2 linked regions of the Mus musculus genome follow. The main gene of each other region encodes a partner of the protein of the gene in region 2 in a complex. Links are inferred from orthologs where the notes say so. Each region holds a gene or a part of one and is shown on either strand. Other genes may lie near its edges.

What was found. Proteins that work in one complex are often made in the same cells at the same time.
Region 1: Cdhr5 (region 2) and Myo7b share a complex: the UniProt entries of both Homo sapiens proteins name them as parts of the IMAC/intermicrovillar adhesion complex. The link is inferred for Mus musculus from reciprocal best matches to the Homo sapiens genes CDHR5 and MYO7B.

Annotation. Positions count from the first base shown.
Region 1 is NC_000084.6:31,968,933-31,975,780, reverse strand, and holds part of Myo7b (unconventional myosin-VIIb), read left to right. Parts: intron 1-532; coding exon 533-706; intron 707-1,572; coding exon 1,573-1,800; intron 1,801-2,788; coding exon 2,789-2,956; intron 2,957-4,126; coding exon 4,127-4,244; intron 4,245-4,333; coding exon 4,334-4,460; intron 4,461-6,180; coding exon 6,181-6,344; intron 6,345-6,848. UniProt on the Homo sapiens protein: Myosins are actin-based motor molecules with ATPase activity. Their highly divergent tails are presumed to bind to membranous compartments, which would be moved relative to actin filaments.
Region 2 is NC_000073.6:141,271,964-141,279,300, reverse strand, and holds the start of Cdhr5 (cadherin-related family member 5 isoform 1 precursor), read left to right. Parts: upstream 1-2,514; 5' UTR 2,515-2,582; coding exon 2,583-2,676; intron 2,677-2,754; coding exon 2,755-2,930; intron 2,931-3,262; coding exon 3,263-3,313; intron 3,314-4,761; coding exon 4,762-4,854; intron 4,855-5,033; coding exon 5,034-5,135; intron 5,136-5,243; coding exon 5,244-5,354; intron 5,355-5,442; coding exon 5,443-5,613; intron 5,614-6,195; coding exon 6,196-6,286; intron 6,287-6,368; coding exon 6,369-6,466; intron 6,467-6,586; coding exon 6,587-6,787; intron 6,788-6,924; coding exon 6,925-7,038; intron 7,039-7,115; coding exon 7,116-7,200; intron 7,201-7,298; coding exon 7,299-7,337. Other genes in the region: Sct (secretin isoform 1 precursor), read left to right, coding at 203-285, 367-468, 579-683, 762-891. UniProt on the Homo sapiens protein: Intermicrovillar adhesion molecule that forms, via its extracellular domain, calcium-dependent heterophilic complexes with CDHR2 on adjacent microvilli. Thereby, controls the packing of microvilli at the apical membrane of epithelial cells.

The sequences.
Region 1 (6,848 bases), on a different chromosome or scaffold from region 2:
ATCCCTGAGTTCTCAAGACTTCAGAAAGGGTCATTCCAGACCACCAGGATAAAGGGAGTACTCTGGGTCACAGCAGTGCCTGTACCTGCCCCATGTAGACAGCAGGCCTCCTCTGGCCACATTCCCTTCATGTTCACTCTTCAATTTCCCCTGCCTTCCTTCCCCAAATTCCCAAATAGGCAAACTATAGGTGAACATGAAGCCACTCGTATCTACCTATACAGTGTTGGGCTTAGGATCCAATGACTTAAACTTTGAGACAACCTCAGCACCTTGGGTTTGCATCTGAGTGTGGCTTATTATGGGATACAGGCTATACATCAGGGCTGCAGAGACTACAAAGTCTACAGCTTACCTGCTCTGGGTGGGTAGCACAGACCACTGGACACCATGCCAATTCGCAATCAGACCCTGGGTCTTCTGAGGGACTCACCCTCAGGACTCTGTAGGAACAAGCAAGCTTAGGGATGGGGAGCCTCTGGGGACAGGCTCTGGGTCCCAGGACTGCAGAGTACCGCCTATCTGTCCCTAGGCTGTCAAGTCCAAGAAGCACATCCCGATCCAGGTCATCCTGGCAACCGGAAGGAGCCTGACCATCTCTGTGGACTCCGCCTCCACATCACGAGAAATCTGCCAGCACGTCGCTCAGAAACAGGGTCTCAGGGACAATCTGGGCTTCTCCCTCCAGGTCGCTGTATATGATAAGGTATCAGCTAGGACTCATATCCTACCTATGCCTCCTATGCACACCTGGGCCAGAGCACCCTGAAGCCAGAATCTGTACCTATTAACCTGCCATGCCTGCATCCTCAGCCACCACACACACACACCACATATATGGGCATGCATATACATACATTCGTGCACACACACACACATCCATGCATATGCACACACACCAGAGACACCTCATAACACACGCCCAGTCCTCCTGCATACTTACAGGCCATCAGTTGTACGTTTAACCACATAGGGCTAGATATGAGCCTTTACCCCCAAACCTAGGAACCCTAATATTTATCTGTAGGAGTCAAACTCTCCCTTCTTTAGGAAGCATTTTAGGAGGTGATGGACAGACCAGGACACCTTCTGCGAGCTGGGGAGACAGTTCAGCTGGTAAAGTACATACTGTGGCATGGATAGTTGAGACCAATCCCCCAGTACCATGTAAATAATCTAAGCATGGCGGCATTTGCTGCTGCACTACCCAAATGGAGATGTGAGAGTCTCAGGGCTCATTGACCAGCAAACCCAACCAAATCAGTGAGTTCTAGGTTCAATGAGAGATCCCATCTCGGAAACAGAGATGGAAAGCAATTAGGGAAGATTTGCCATCCACCTGTGACCTCCACAAACACACACACACACACACACACACACACACACACACACACACACAAAACATGAAGAGAAAGAAAGAAGCATTTTGGTGTCCGACTGGACTCAGGAGTGGCTTCTTGGCCCACACAGGGCACTATGGTCCCTGTCTTCCTCATACGATGTTAAGGATAGATGTCTGTGTTGGGGCGTGGCATATCGCAGCTGTTAATCCCTCCTGCCCCCAATTCTCAGTTCTGGTCCTTGGGCAGCGGCTGTGACCATTTGATGGATGCTGTGGCCCAGTGTGAGCAACTGGCCCGAGAGAGGGGAGAGAGCCAGCGGCAGGCCCCCTGGCGTATCTACTTCCGGAAGGAGTTCTTCACCCCCTGGCATGACTCCCAGGAGGACCCTGTGAGCACTGAGCTCATTTACCACCAAGTCCTCCGTGGGGTGTGGTCTGGCGAGTATAACTTTGAGAAGGTGAGGAGCCCTGCGAGTTGCCCCATTCCTAGACTGTGGCCATCAGGATGCTTTGCAGTATAGGGGCTACGTGGCAATGGAAGTAATAAAGAATGTGGCAGACAGGAGCCTGAGGAAGGATGGATGGAAAGGTAGATACAAGGGTGCAGGCATGGAGCCAACACTGGGCACAGACATCTCTCCCAGGCCTGGCCGCCTTCTTCCTCCTCTGGGTTGCAGGTTTGCTTGGGCATCTGGGATCCTTGGCACCCACAGCATCAGGCAGAAAAGGCCCCCCTACTTGTCCCAGGCTCCCTGACCTCCCACACCAGCTGCTCATAGAGCAGTGTATCCTGGGGATCAGGAATGTAGCCTCGAAGCTGAATGATGATAGCCTGGGTTCGATCCCTCGTACTGTATAAACTGAACCTGGTAGCGAACCCCTGTAATGCCAGCAACTGGGAGGCAAGAAGAGCATAAGTTTAAGGTTATCCTTGGATATATAGGGAGTTTGAGGCCAGTCTGAGATACATGAGGCTTATTCTAGGGGTTGGGGGGAGGGAGAAGGAGGGAAAAGAGGGGAAAGAGGAGGAAGAACATGGAGAAAGAAGAGGGGAGGAGATGAGAAGGGAAGGAAGAAGAGGACCCTCGGGGTCACTCACATCTGGGATGCACAAAGAGCTCTAACAACAGGGTGCTCTGTGACTATGTGGCACCAGGTGCAAACACCACATGCCACATCAGGAGGCTGTGTCTTGGGACCCTAACAGCCACAGCCATTTCAGCCGTCTGCCTGAATGGGGCAGCCACTGTGTTTTTGGCATGGGAGGACTTTGCCCCTCCTAGAGCAGCAGTGTAGGGGAGAGGTTAGGACAGGAGGCTGCTCCTGCCTCCTTCCTTGTGTGAGAGGCTGGTGAGCCCCACTGCTCTGAGGCAGGAGCTGCCTCGTGGGAAGACCTTGTGGGCCCTTACTCACCCCTCTTATGCTCCCGCTGTCCCTGGCACACAGGAGGAGGAGCTTGTGGAGCTGCTGGCCCGGCACTGCTATGTGCAGCTTGGGGCCACGGTGAAGAGTAACGCTGTCCAGGAGCTGTTGCCCAGCTGTGTTCCCTCCAAACTGTACCGGACCAAGTCTCCAGAGAAGTGGGCTAGCCTTGTCACCGCTGCCCATGCCAAGGTCAGTCTGTGGCAGGCTGGGCACTCTGGGTCCACTCTGAGGGGTGATGAGAGGAATGGGTCCCTTCCCCCATGAGTCTCCCATGTGCCAGGGACCAGGAAGCCTTAAAAGGCACATCCCTGATGCAAGGGACAAAGTGTCTCCTTCAGCTCAGCACATCAGCACAGGTTCCTGTCACCTGCCCTCCCTCTGCATAGGCCTCTTGGTCCCAAACTGCTCTGCCCAGCGGCACCTAGCTGGCCTTTTTCCAGGGCCTGAGGCTCCACAGCTGCTGAATTCTGACAGTTCTGTGGCCTGGCACAGGCTCATCATTTCTTCCCTTCATGCTCACCTCCAAGCCTTTCAGTGTCCCCTCAGTGGGCACATGGAAATCTTAGGTCACCGTGTACACGTCCTAAGTGTTTGGTACATGTGGCAGATGGCCAAATCACCCTTCATATCTGCTGTGTTCATTTCCATGCCTAAAGTCAGCACATGAATGTAGAGATGAGAAATGGCATTTGGTCCAACAGAGAAAGAAAACTTGAGGCCATTTTAGGCACAGCCCAGTGGATGTGGGACATGTGAGGAAGGGAAAGGGCGAGCCAGGCAAAGGGAAGAAATATAAGGATGAGAGAAGTGTAGAGATGGCTTGGTTGGTAAAGAGCTTGCTGCGCAGGGCTGACACCCTGAGTTCAAATCACCAGAACCCATGAAGTGCTGGGTGGGGTAGCACACGCCTGTGCAGTCCCGATGTGTACCTTCAGAGAGATGGAGGCAGGAACAGGAGGATTGATAGAATCCTGGGAGCCAGCTAGCCTGGCACAGCAATAGTGAGCAACAAGAGACCATGTGTCATGCTGGGCAGCGGAGGTGCACGCCTTTAATCTCAGCACTTGGGAGGCCAGAGGCAGGCAGATTTCTGAGTTCGAGGCCAGCCTGGTCTACAGGATGAGTTCCAGGACAGCCGGGGCTACACAGAGAAACCCTGTCTCAAAAAATAAGAGAGAGACAGAGACAGAGAGACAGAGAAGGGACAGAGACAGAGACAGAGACAGAGACACAGAGACACAGAGAGAGACAGAGACAGAGAGAGAGACCATCTGTCAATCAAGATGGAAGGTGAGGGCCAATGTTGGAGGTTGTCCTTCATCCTTCCATATGCAGCCCGGGCTTTTCCACTCTATATAGGCCCAGTATACCCAGTCGAAAGCCACGCCACTGGCGGTGAGGGAGCAGACAGTGGAGGCTGCCCGTCTTCTGTGGCCCCTGCTCTTCTCCCGGCTATTTGAAGTCACCACACTCTCTGGTAAGAGCATGTGGTGCTGTGTGGTTGGGGAGGACAGGGTTCTCATGGTGATCAGCATGGCCTTCAGTCTGGGGTTGCCTTCTGGCCAGGTCCCCGCCTTCCCAAGACGCAGCTGGTTTTAGCCATTAACTGGAAGGGGATGTACTTCCTGGATCAGAAGGAGAGGACACTGCTGGGGTTGTCCTTCGCAGAGGTCATGGGTCTGGTCGCCAACAGGTAAAACTCAAGTCTTTTACTTCTCAACCTGAGACCTTGGCTTAGGTGGATGTGGAACTCAAGGACAGACATGAGGAGGGGCTCACGAGTCAGCAGTAGCAGGATAAGTGGAGCAAGCACAAGTGCAGGGTGAATCTGCGGCTTCTTTGAAAAAACAGAAACTGTATAAGAATACGTCTGCATTTTAATCCCAAGTGTAGGACATGGGGCCGCTTTAAACAATTCACAGCCGCTGATTATGACTTGCCTCATGCTTTATCAGGGGCGTGATTTTGCCAGCTGCAGATAATTTCTGCAATTGTGAGACGTTTGGAATTCTGGGGACTTTTCAGAGGGTACATAAATGCTGGGTTCTCAAGAGGTGGTATGGGTTGCTGGTTGGTGGTTGGTTGCTGTTGGTCATAGTTTGATAAGTGGGCATGATCAAAGGCGAAACAACAAGAGGAAGAAATTCGATATGCTGACAGAGAAAACCAAACTTTCACCAAGGAACTCACACCTCTGTCAACAGGAAGTAGTCTAACAGTAATGTCGCCCCTTTCCCCTCTATCCTTTGTTCTGTCCTTTCTAGCATTAGGGGGTTGTAAGGGAGAGAGAGGGTATCACACTCTCTGGTAAGAGCATGTGGTGCTGTGCGGTTGGGGAGGACAAGGAGCCTGCTCCTGGTGGCCAGCATGGCCTTCAGGCTGGGGTCGCCTTCTGGCCAGGTCCCCGCCTTCCCCTCCTTCACAGCTGATTTTTGCCATTAACTGGAAGGGGAAGCGCTTGCCTTCTGTGTACCCCTGAACTTGTAAAGTAGCAAATGCTGGCTACACATGGGACTTGGAGACACCCTCCCACACTTGCTCAGAGTTCTTCCAAGGCATCTGGGAACTCCTGCCTTAGGAACTGTTCCACTTCAGTTCCTTAGTCTTGCTAGGGGTCTGACAGGTTCACAGTACCATTGCTCCCTGGGGTCCACTGCCCACTCTCCTGGGCAACTGGAAGTCCTCACAGCATCCCCTGCTGGGCTAGCGAATTGCCTTGCTGCCACACAAAACTACCCAGTATAAGCAACTTAAGGGAGGGTGGGTTCAGTGTGACTCACAGGTTGAGGGTTCAGACATCACGAGGAAAGACAGACAGCAGGAACGTGAGGCAGCTGCCCTGCCGTGTCACAGCAGGAAGCAGAGAGATGAGCACTGCTCAGCTAGCTTTCTCTTTCTCACTCAGCCAGGGATCTGAGCCTACAGAATGCGGTACCCACATTTAGTACGGGTCTGCCCACATCAGCTAGAAACTATGAGGTATACCCGGAGGTTGGTCACGTAGGTGAGCTAGAGGCTAACACGGTGACAGTCAGTTTTAACAATTGCACCCATTCTGGAGAGAAGTAAACTGAGGCACATCAGCTAGGTAACTGTCCCATGTTCCAAGCCTAGAGCACTCTGTGTGATGTTGCCCATTTTCTGCTTAGAGCAGTCTTTCATGCTGGGACAGTTCACACCCCGCTGCCTCTGGAACACAGAGATCTGCTTGCCACTTGTCCAGTGCCTAAGGTGCTGCCTGGAACTTGGGCCAACCTGGACTCTGACTAACCTCTTCCAAGGACCCTTTAGGAGTCCCTTGTTTCCTCATGTCTGGCGCTGGAGCTGTCACTTCTCAAAGGCTGCTCAGGAGCCGTAATGAGAGAGAGCGAGCCGGGAAGGCTCTGGTCCCACTGCGCCCTTTGTGCCCTCAGGGACGCCCCAGGAGGGAAGAAGCTGCTTCTCGCCACACTCCAGGAAGAGTACGAGTTCGTCTCCCCCAGCAGCGTGGCTATTGCAGAGATGGTGGCCTTGTTCTTGGGAGGCTTGAAGGAGAGATCTGTGTTCGCCATGGCCCTGCAGGACAGAAGGGCCACAGGTGCCCACTGGGAGAGGGAAGGGGCTCATGGGACTGGTGGAGAAGGGCGGCTTCCTCAGATCCACAAGACCCAAAGTGAAGCTTAGGAACACAAGCATCCGTATCATGGGGTCAGCTTCAGCAAGGTCCTCATCTGAAAGGCTTAAAGGAGGTGTGTTACACGTACACTCCACCAACACCACCCATGTTCTCACAGACGCTGGCAAGGTTAACGCACACCTGCAGGGACCTACACCCACACCGTCCCCACAACCACCCCATTATCCCATGTCACAGACACCAGACCAGAGGCTCAGAGAGGGAGATACTTCACCCAGCACCACATAGCTTTCCGTGAAAGTCCTTAATCCAACAAGAGCTGGGCTGGAGCCTATAGGCTAGGCCAGTGTCAGGCTCCAGACATCAACCATCGAGATTGATTACAGGCATTGTAGACAAACTGGCTGCAATTCAGATGCAAGGGCTTTGTAGGAACTCTTTAAAAAAACAAACAAGCAAACAAAC
Region 2 (7,337 bases):
CAACACGGCGGTAGGGACAGGAGGTGGCCGGACGACAGCTGGGTGGGCGGCCCTGACCTTCCTGCAATCAATGAGGCGGGGCCGGCCGCGCGGAGCCGGGGCGGTGCTGGAGCCCACCGCCGCCGGCGGTCCCGGCAGCTATAAAGCGGTGGCGCGGGGCTCAGGCTGAAGTTGCAGCATTTGTCACACCCAGAGCCCGACCATGGAGCCTCCGCTGCCCACGCCGATGCTACTGCTGTTGCTGCTGCTGCTCTCCAGTTCCGCCGCGCTCCCTGCACCTCCCAGGTGAGCAGGGTTGGGAATCCGTTTCATCCCGGCCACGCCCACACTTCAATTTCTGACCCTTATGGCTTCACCCCTCCCCAGGACCCCAAGACACTCAGACGGAATGTTCACCAGCGAGCTCAGCCGCTTGCAGGACAGTGCCAGGCTGCAGCGCCTGCTGCAGGGTCTGGTGGGGAAGCGCAGGTGAGCCCGCGCTAGGTAGAATTTTCCAGACTGGCTAGTATGGGACAGGCCCGCCACATCCCTGTACACCACTAATTCTACTTTGGGCGTGGGGGTGGGGGTGGGGTCAGCGAGCAGGACACAGAAAATATCCCAGAGAACAGCCTGGCCCGGTCCAAGCCCTTAGAGGACCAGCTCTGCTTGCTGTGGTCGAACACTCAGACCCTACAGGACTGGTGAGTTTTCCATCCTCAGCTGGATTCCTAAAGTGCCCCAGCCAGGTGGGTACCCGCACTCTGATGGTCACTCACTAGTCCCCTCTCCTTCCACAGGCTTCTGCCCAGGCTGTCCCTGGATGGGTCCCTGTCTCTCTGGCTGCCTCCTGGACCAAGGTCTGCTGTTGATCGTTCAGAGTGGACTGAAACAACCAGGCCACCCAGATGAGGGAGGAAGAGTCTCTAGGACCCTGGCTGGAGTAGGGATTGGTTGTCCTTGGCATCAATAAAAAAGGAATTTAGACCCTGGTCTTTTAGCTCATGGTGTGTGATGTCTGATAAAATGAAGGCCGCCTCTGCTCCGAGAGCCTGGAAGGCGTGGACAGATCCAGCCATCTCATTCAGTGGCTAGGACCACACCCAGCTGCCCTTTGAACCCAAGAAGCCAGCTAGGACATTTCTTATCTCTGGCATCAGCTGAACCCCTCTTTTCCCAGCTGAATTCCCTAGAGTGCCACCTTGCCCTGTGGTCCATTTAGCAAAATTTCTAGGGATCAGGGACTCCCCACCCTGGTCCAGCCATGTGGCCAGGGTAAATGAAGTGGTGAGGAGGAGGCTCAGGCGGGGTCATAGGGGTCCGCTTATGAGTGGGAGGACCTGAGTACATCCTGGCTCTAACATGTCTAGGCCTGAGGCCTGACGGTGATGTCATCTCCCAGTAGGCAGCTGTAGGACCAGTGAAGGGTTGTGAGACAGTGCTCAGTCTTTGCAGAGGCTTGGAGCCTCGGGAAGGTTTTCAGACACCTAAAGCAGCCAGCCCTGCAAAGGCCCACAGTAGTGAGAGCTGTGCAGGCCCTTTCAACAGAACACCCCCTACGACCCTCCTGATCCCACCCAGGGCCTTCTTCCTATCTCTGAGAGCTTACAGGCAAAAGGAGAGGAAGCATATCTAATGGAGGCCTGGGCTGTGTCCTCACCAGGATTCCTGTCTTCCATCAGATACTGGCTCCCCAAACCCCAGCTCCTAGCTGTGGCTGAAAGGTTCTATCTGCATCCTAACACCAACCAAGGCTCTGCCAGGCCCTACCCTGGGGGAACTGCTGTGTTTCTCATACAGCAGGAGCATACTGGGACACAGCCATTTCCCTTGGGAGTGGACGAGGGAAGGGAAGGGAGACGACATGACATAGCTCCAGGGATTTTGCTAGAGAACACTGAGGAGAAAGAGACAAGATGAGGGACACCCCAATGAGGGCTACAGTAGACCCAATGGCTCAGCCTGTTCTTGCTCCCAGCTCCCCACAGCCCTGCCCCCATTCCCCACAGCCCTGCCCCAGCTCTCCATAGCCCTGCCCCAGCTCCCCACAGCCCTGCCCCAGCTCCCCAGACCCATGGTTCCATCCCACAGGCCTGCTTCAGCCCCCAGCCCTGACTCAGCTCCCTACAGCCCTGCCCCAGTTCCCCACAGCCCTGCCCCAGCTCTCCATAGCCCTGCCCCAGCTCTCCATAGCCCTGCCCCAGCTCCCCATAGCCCTGCCCCAGCTCCCCAGACCCATGGTTCCATCCCACAGGCCTGCTTCAGCCCCCAGCCCTGACTCAGCCTCCTTAGATCTATGGCCCCAGAGCCTTGCCCTGGCTCCCCACACCTATTCTCCACTCCTCCTTGTTCTCAAGCTTCATACACCTTATGTGTAGTTCCCGTGGGTTGAGTCTCCAGCTAACTTCCTGGAAGTCCAGGCCGAAATATGACCTCATGTCCCCTGTTAGTGCCGGCCAGCGGGAGTCCCCTTGATAGAGGCCATCTGTAAAGGGTCATAAAATGAGGCGGTGCCTGGCAGGGGCGAAGGTCGCCAAGGCAGGAATTGTACCAGCCCTGGAACCAAGCAAGCTGGATCCTTCTTCCAGGTGACAGCTGCCGCCATGGGGGCTCCGGCCCTCCTGTGGCCTTCCCTGCTGTTGCCATGGCTCACAGTGCTGTTTGGCCAACCTCCGGGGACCTTGGCCCAGACCCAGGGTATGTGTCGGGCAGGGGCAGGACAGGTGGGTGGCAGAGCTCTGATGAGGAACCAACTTCTTCTTTCCAACTTTCTAGTCTGCTCTGTGAACCAGACCATATTTAGAGTCGAGGAGAACACCACTGTTTCTGAGCCACTGGTGAACATTTTTGTCCCAGACGGCCTGCACGTGACCTTGGGACCCTTGTCCACTCCTTATGCCTTTAGGATCGAAGGAAAAGATCTGTTTCTCAACGTGACTCCAGATTATGAGGTACAGTCTGTAGGCTGGATGGAATGTGCCTTCATGGAGACATACATGGGCGGGCCTCCTAACCTGGGGAAGATTCAGGGAAGGAGGGGCTGAGGGTTCTCTATCCCCCTGAGTGAGGAACCCTTCAGGCCCTGTGGTCGGTTGGTTGGTACTGAGGGGGAGGGCCGTAGGGGACAAAGCTGCCAAATGCCCCCCCCCACACACCCAGGATTTCCCACAGATGACTGGGGCGCTGGAGCGGTACCTGCTCTCCTAGCCGTACTCTCCCGTTCTAGAGCAGCATAGCTCCTTATGTGGCAAGTGACTCATAGGGCCCCTGGCTTCATCCTTAGGAAAACTCATTGCTCCAGGCAGATGTGGAGTGTAAGAGAGGAGATGCGGTGGTAAGTTAACCCCAGTACCTGATCACCTCTGCCTTCTGTCAGAGTACCCCAAGGCCATTCCCCCATGACCTCAGCTCTCTCCTGGCCACTCCCACGCTTGCTTCTTTCAGCCTAGACTTCCCTGAGCTCCAGACTCAAAGTCAGCTAACTTAGAGCTGTGGATTAAGTCAATACCCTGAGGCCCTAAGTCTGCCTCTCATCCCTCACCTGCCAGCCACTTAGGCCCCTTTTGAGGTCACCCCACCCCAGGTACATTGTTGGGATTGTCGGTTGTGCCTCAGTTAGAGTCAGCCCTACTCTTCCTACCTCTAGTCCCACGGGGCCTTGGGCAGCAGGTCTCCTTTCTGACCCTGCCGCAGATCCATTTGCTCTCCGTGCCCTTGGTCCTTCTCTATTCCTTCCCCCACATAGTGAATCCCTAGAGAGTCATAACCACAACCCCAGACAGCCTCACACAGAAACTTCTACGTTTCTTACCGGACTCCAAAGCTAAATGCACAGGTGGGTGGGTGAGGCAGGCTAGGGCATGCAGACACTGATCTGGTATGCAAATTCATTTTGATGCTTAACCCTCCTACGTTATGCTGCCCCGCTACCCTATCCCATACATCGTATCCCTCAGCCTCCACCACAAGCCTTTTACTAAAGGAAGCTCGAAGAAATAACAGGCCCCACATAATTTCTGCTTCACCATGAGCAACTCTCACACCCTGCACTCCTACCTGGCTCCATGACATGTTACCACACACATCTTGGGCCACGTCTCTAATAGGTAGTAATATTAAAAAAACAAAACAAGACAAAACTTATTTTTTTTTTTTGGTATAGTTCAGTGGTAGAGTATCTGCCTAGTATGATTTGAAGCCCTGGGCTCCACCTTCAACACATGAATATAATTCACACACATACACAGACATACAGATACACAGAGAGACAGAGACAGAAACAGGAAGACAGAGAGAGGCATGGACTTGGTATCTGTCACACCTGAGAAGAACAGCTTTCTCTCTGTCCTCCAGCACCTGGCTGTGTTCGTTTCTCCCTGGGTCTCAGGAAGGGTTCTCTCATGGAATAAAGCTGTTTGGTTTTAACCTAAAGGCCCCTTTCTCTGATCTTCTCTTGGAGACCTGTTTCTGAAGCCGCGAGAGGCTGTTTTTCTCCCTTCGATGCGTTGCTGGTTGTGGCCCTGGGATTGTCATCATTTCTCTTCAGCCCACCCACCACACACATGTGGCCACACTCTAAAACTTGTTTTTACAGTCTACGTTCCTCCTAGAACAGTAGCTCACAGGCCACCACATTATTGCTGCCATCAGAGCTGTGGAATGAAAGGGAAAGAATGACTGACTGACTGAATGAATAAGATAAGAATAATGAAACAGATAAGAAAAGGAATGAATGAATGATGGGTCATCAGAGCATTGCTGACTTTGGTGACTTTGCTGCAGGTGGTACGCCTGGAGGTGTTTGTGGCTGTCCTGGATATCAATGACAATGCGCCAAAATTCTCCTTTGAAATCAAGACATTTAATGTATCGGAGGTGAGCCCAGTCGGAACCAGTGCTGTCTTGAGCATGGAGAGGCAGGGGGACACAGGGTGTCTGCAGGGGGACACAGGGTGTCTGCAGGGGGACACAGGGTGTCTGCGGGACCACATCGGGAAGATCTATATACAGAAACCACAGCATGGCTGGACCAACCTCCTCTTCTCCATTCCCAGGACACCAAAGTGAATACAACCGTCATCCCTGAGACACAGCTGAAGGCTACAGATGCTGACATAAATGACATCCTAGTCTACACTCTGCAGGAAGTGACCCCCGTCAGTGCTTCCCCAGCCCCACTCATTATTGACAACCCTCACTCTTTCTGATGCCTTCAGGCCTCAGTTTCTCCACCTTCCAGAGTCCCACCTCCTTCCCCTCCACAGAATGCCAGCAAGTTCTTCTCCCTGGAGGGCGTAAACTACCCTGCTCTGAAGTTGGACCAGACCCTGGATTACTTCAAGAATCAGAACATGACCTTCATGCTGCTGGCACGGGTAAGTGGATCACATCTTCCTAAGTCCTGGGTGTTCTAGGTCCTGTCCAAGCTGGGCCTGACCTATCAGGGGCTGGCTGTCACTACAGGATACTTGGGAGGAAAATGTAGAGCCCAGCCACACGGCCACTGCCACCCTGGTCTTGAACACGCTGCCAGCTGACCTACGGACCCCCTGGTTCCTGCCATGCTCCTTCACAGATGGCTATGTCTGCATTCATGCCCAATACAGTGCGGTTGTCCCCACGGGACACAAACTGGTAATGGGGAGAAAGGAGGCCCAGGCCCAGGGTCAGACTTGAATCTAGAGCCAAGTCAGAAAACGTTCAGGGAAGGGATCCAGCCATGGCCCTGTGCTTCTGGAGAGGCTGGCAGACAGTTCTGTGATTTAAGAAACAAACATGAACAATCAATCAATCGATCGATCAATTAATCATCAATCAATCATTAACTATCCCTCCTGGGGGTGGGGCAAAAATCAGTGAGGAGTGTGGATCCTGTTATGTAAGCTGGGATGTGAAGACTTCAGGAGCAGGGCTGATGCTAATAAGGGACTGCTAAGTCCTTGTCTAGATGACAGTCTCCTCTGAGGCCAGCAGTGCCACTGGGCAGGGTGGCCCGCCAAGGCCACCACAGCCTCCACTGTGCAGAGGGGCATACACTGAAGCTGCAAGCCTTCCTTCATAAGTTCTTGTTGCCACTGAGTCCTTCTGTGGCCGCAGCTCTGTCCCAAGCAGGCACTGCCCCTCCCTCCAGGCTCCAACTCACGTTTCAGATCTTGAGGGGCAACAAGAGAGTAAGAGCGGGGGCTCTGAAACCTCAAGATGTCCCTATCCCTACAGCCGTCCCCCCTCATCATGAGTCCTGGTCCCATCTATGCTGTGGACGGAGATCAGGCCATTAACCAGTCTATCATCTACAGCATTATAGCGGGTAAGTGAGGGCTTAGCTCCACAGCACCTGGAGCCCACAACAGAGGGACCAGACACCAAACTCCACCCCCAAATTCTTCCAGGAAACACAGATGGCACATTCATCATCAACGCACACGATGGCAACCTCACAATGACCAAAAGTATCCCGAGCCCCATGAAGTTCACCCTTCTGATCAGGGTGGGTACCGGTACTGGATGATGGATGGGTCTCCTGTGTCCCTAGCTGTGTCCCCAGCTGTGTCCCCTGCTGTGTTCCCAGTTGTAGCTCCATTAAATCCTGCTTCCCCTGACTCCTCAGGCTGATCAGGAAGACATGGCTCAATACTCAGTGACCCAGGCCATCGTGGAGGCTCGCAGTGTCACTGGAAACCCACTCCAGTTCTCCCAGAGCCTGTACTATGGCACAGTGGTACTGGGATCTGAGGCTGGCACAGCAGTGAAGGACAAGACCTTCCCTTCGGAGATCCTGAGGATCCAGGCTCAGTACCCAGGCTTCCCGGTATGCAGTCCCCCCCCCCTGTTCACCTAGGAACCCTATAAGTATACCTGGACCCTCTGGCCTCCTCTCTCTGTCCAGGCTGCTTGGGGTGGGCAGTAGGGCACCAGGCCTATGTCTTACTGTAGTGCCTCATCTAGGACCTCAACTCAGCTGTCACATATCGAGTCACCAACTCCTCAGAATTCATGATGAATAAGGATATCATGCTGACTGCTGTGCCTATGGAGGAAGCAAGAACCATCCGTGTAGAGGTGGAGTGGGGATAAGGGGACCAAAGGTGTGGGGGTAAAGAGGGACCCAAGAGGAACAAGCCCCTTTCCTGACCCAGGTAGAAGCTAGCAATACTGTGACTAAGGACACAGCCACCGCTGTTGTTGAGATCCAGGTGTCAGAGCGAGAACTGCCCTCCACAGGTGAGCCCCCAGGGCCTCCCAAGCAGGGTGGCTCCCCCTCTGGGACAGGCATATCTGGGGACAGAGGCAAACCCAAGTTTTGTACATGCCACCACCAGAGTTCCCCACACCCCCAGAAGCTGGAGGAACGACTGGGC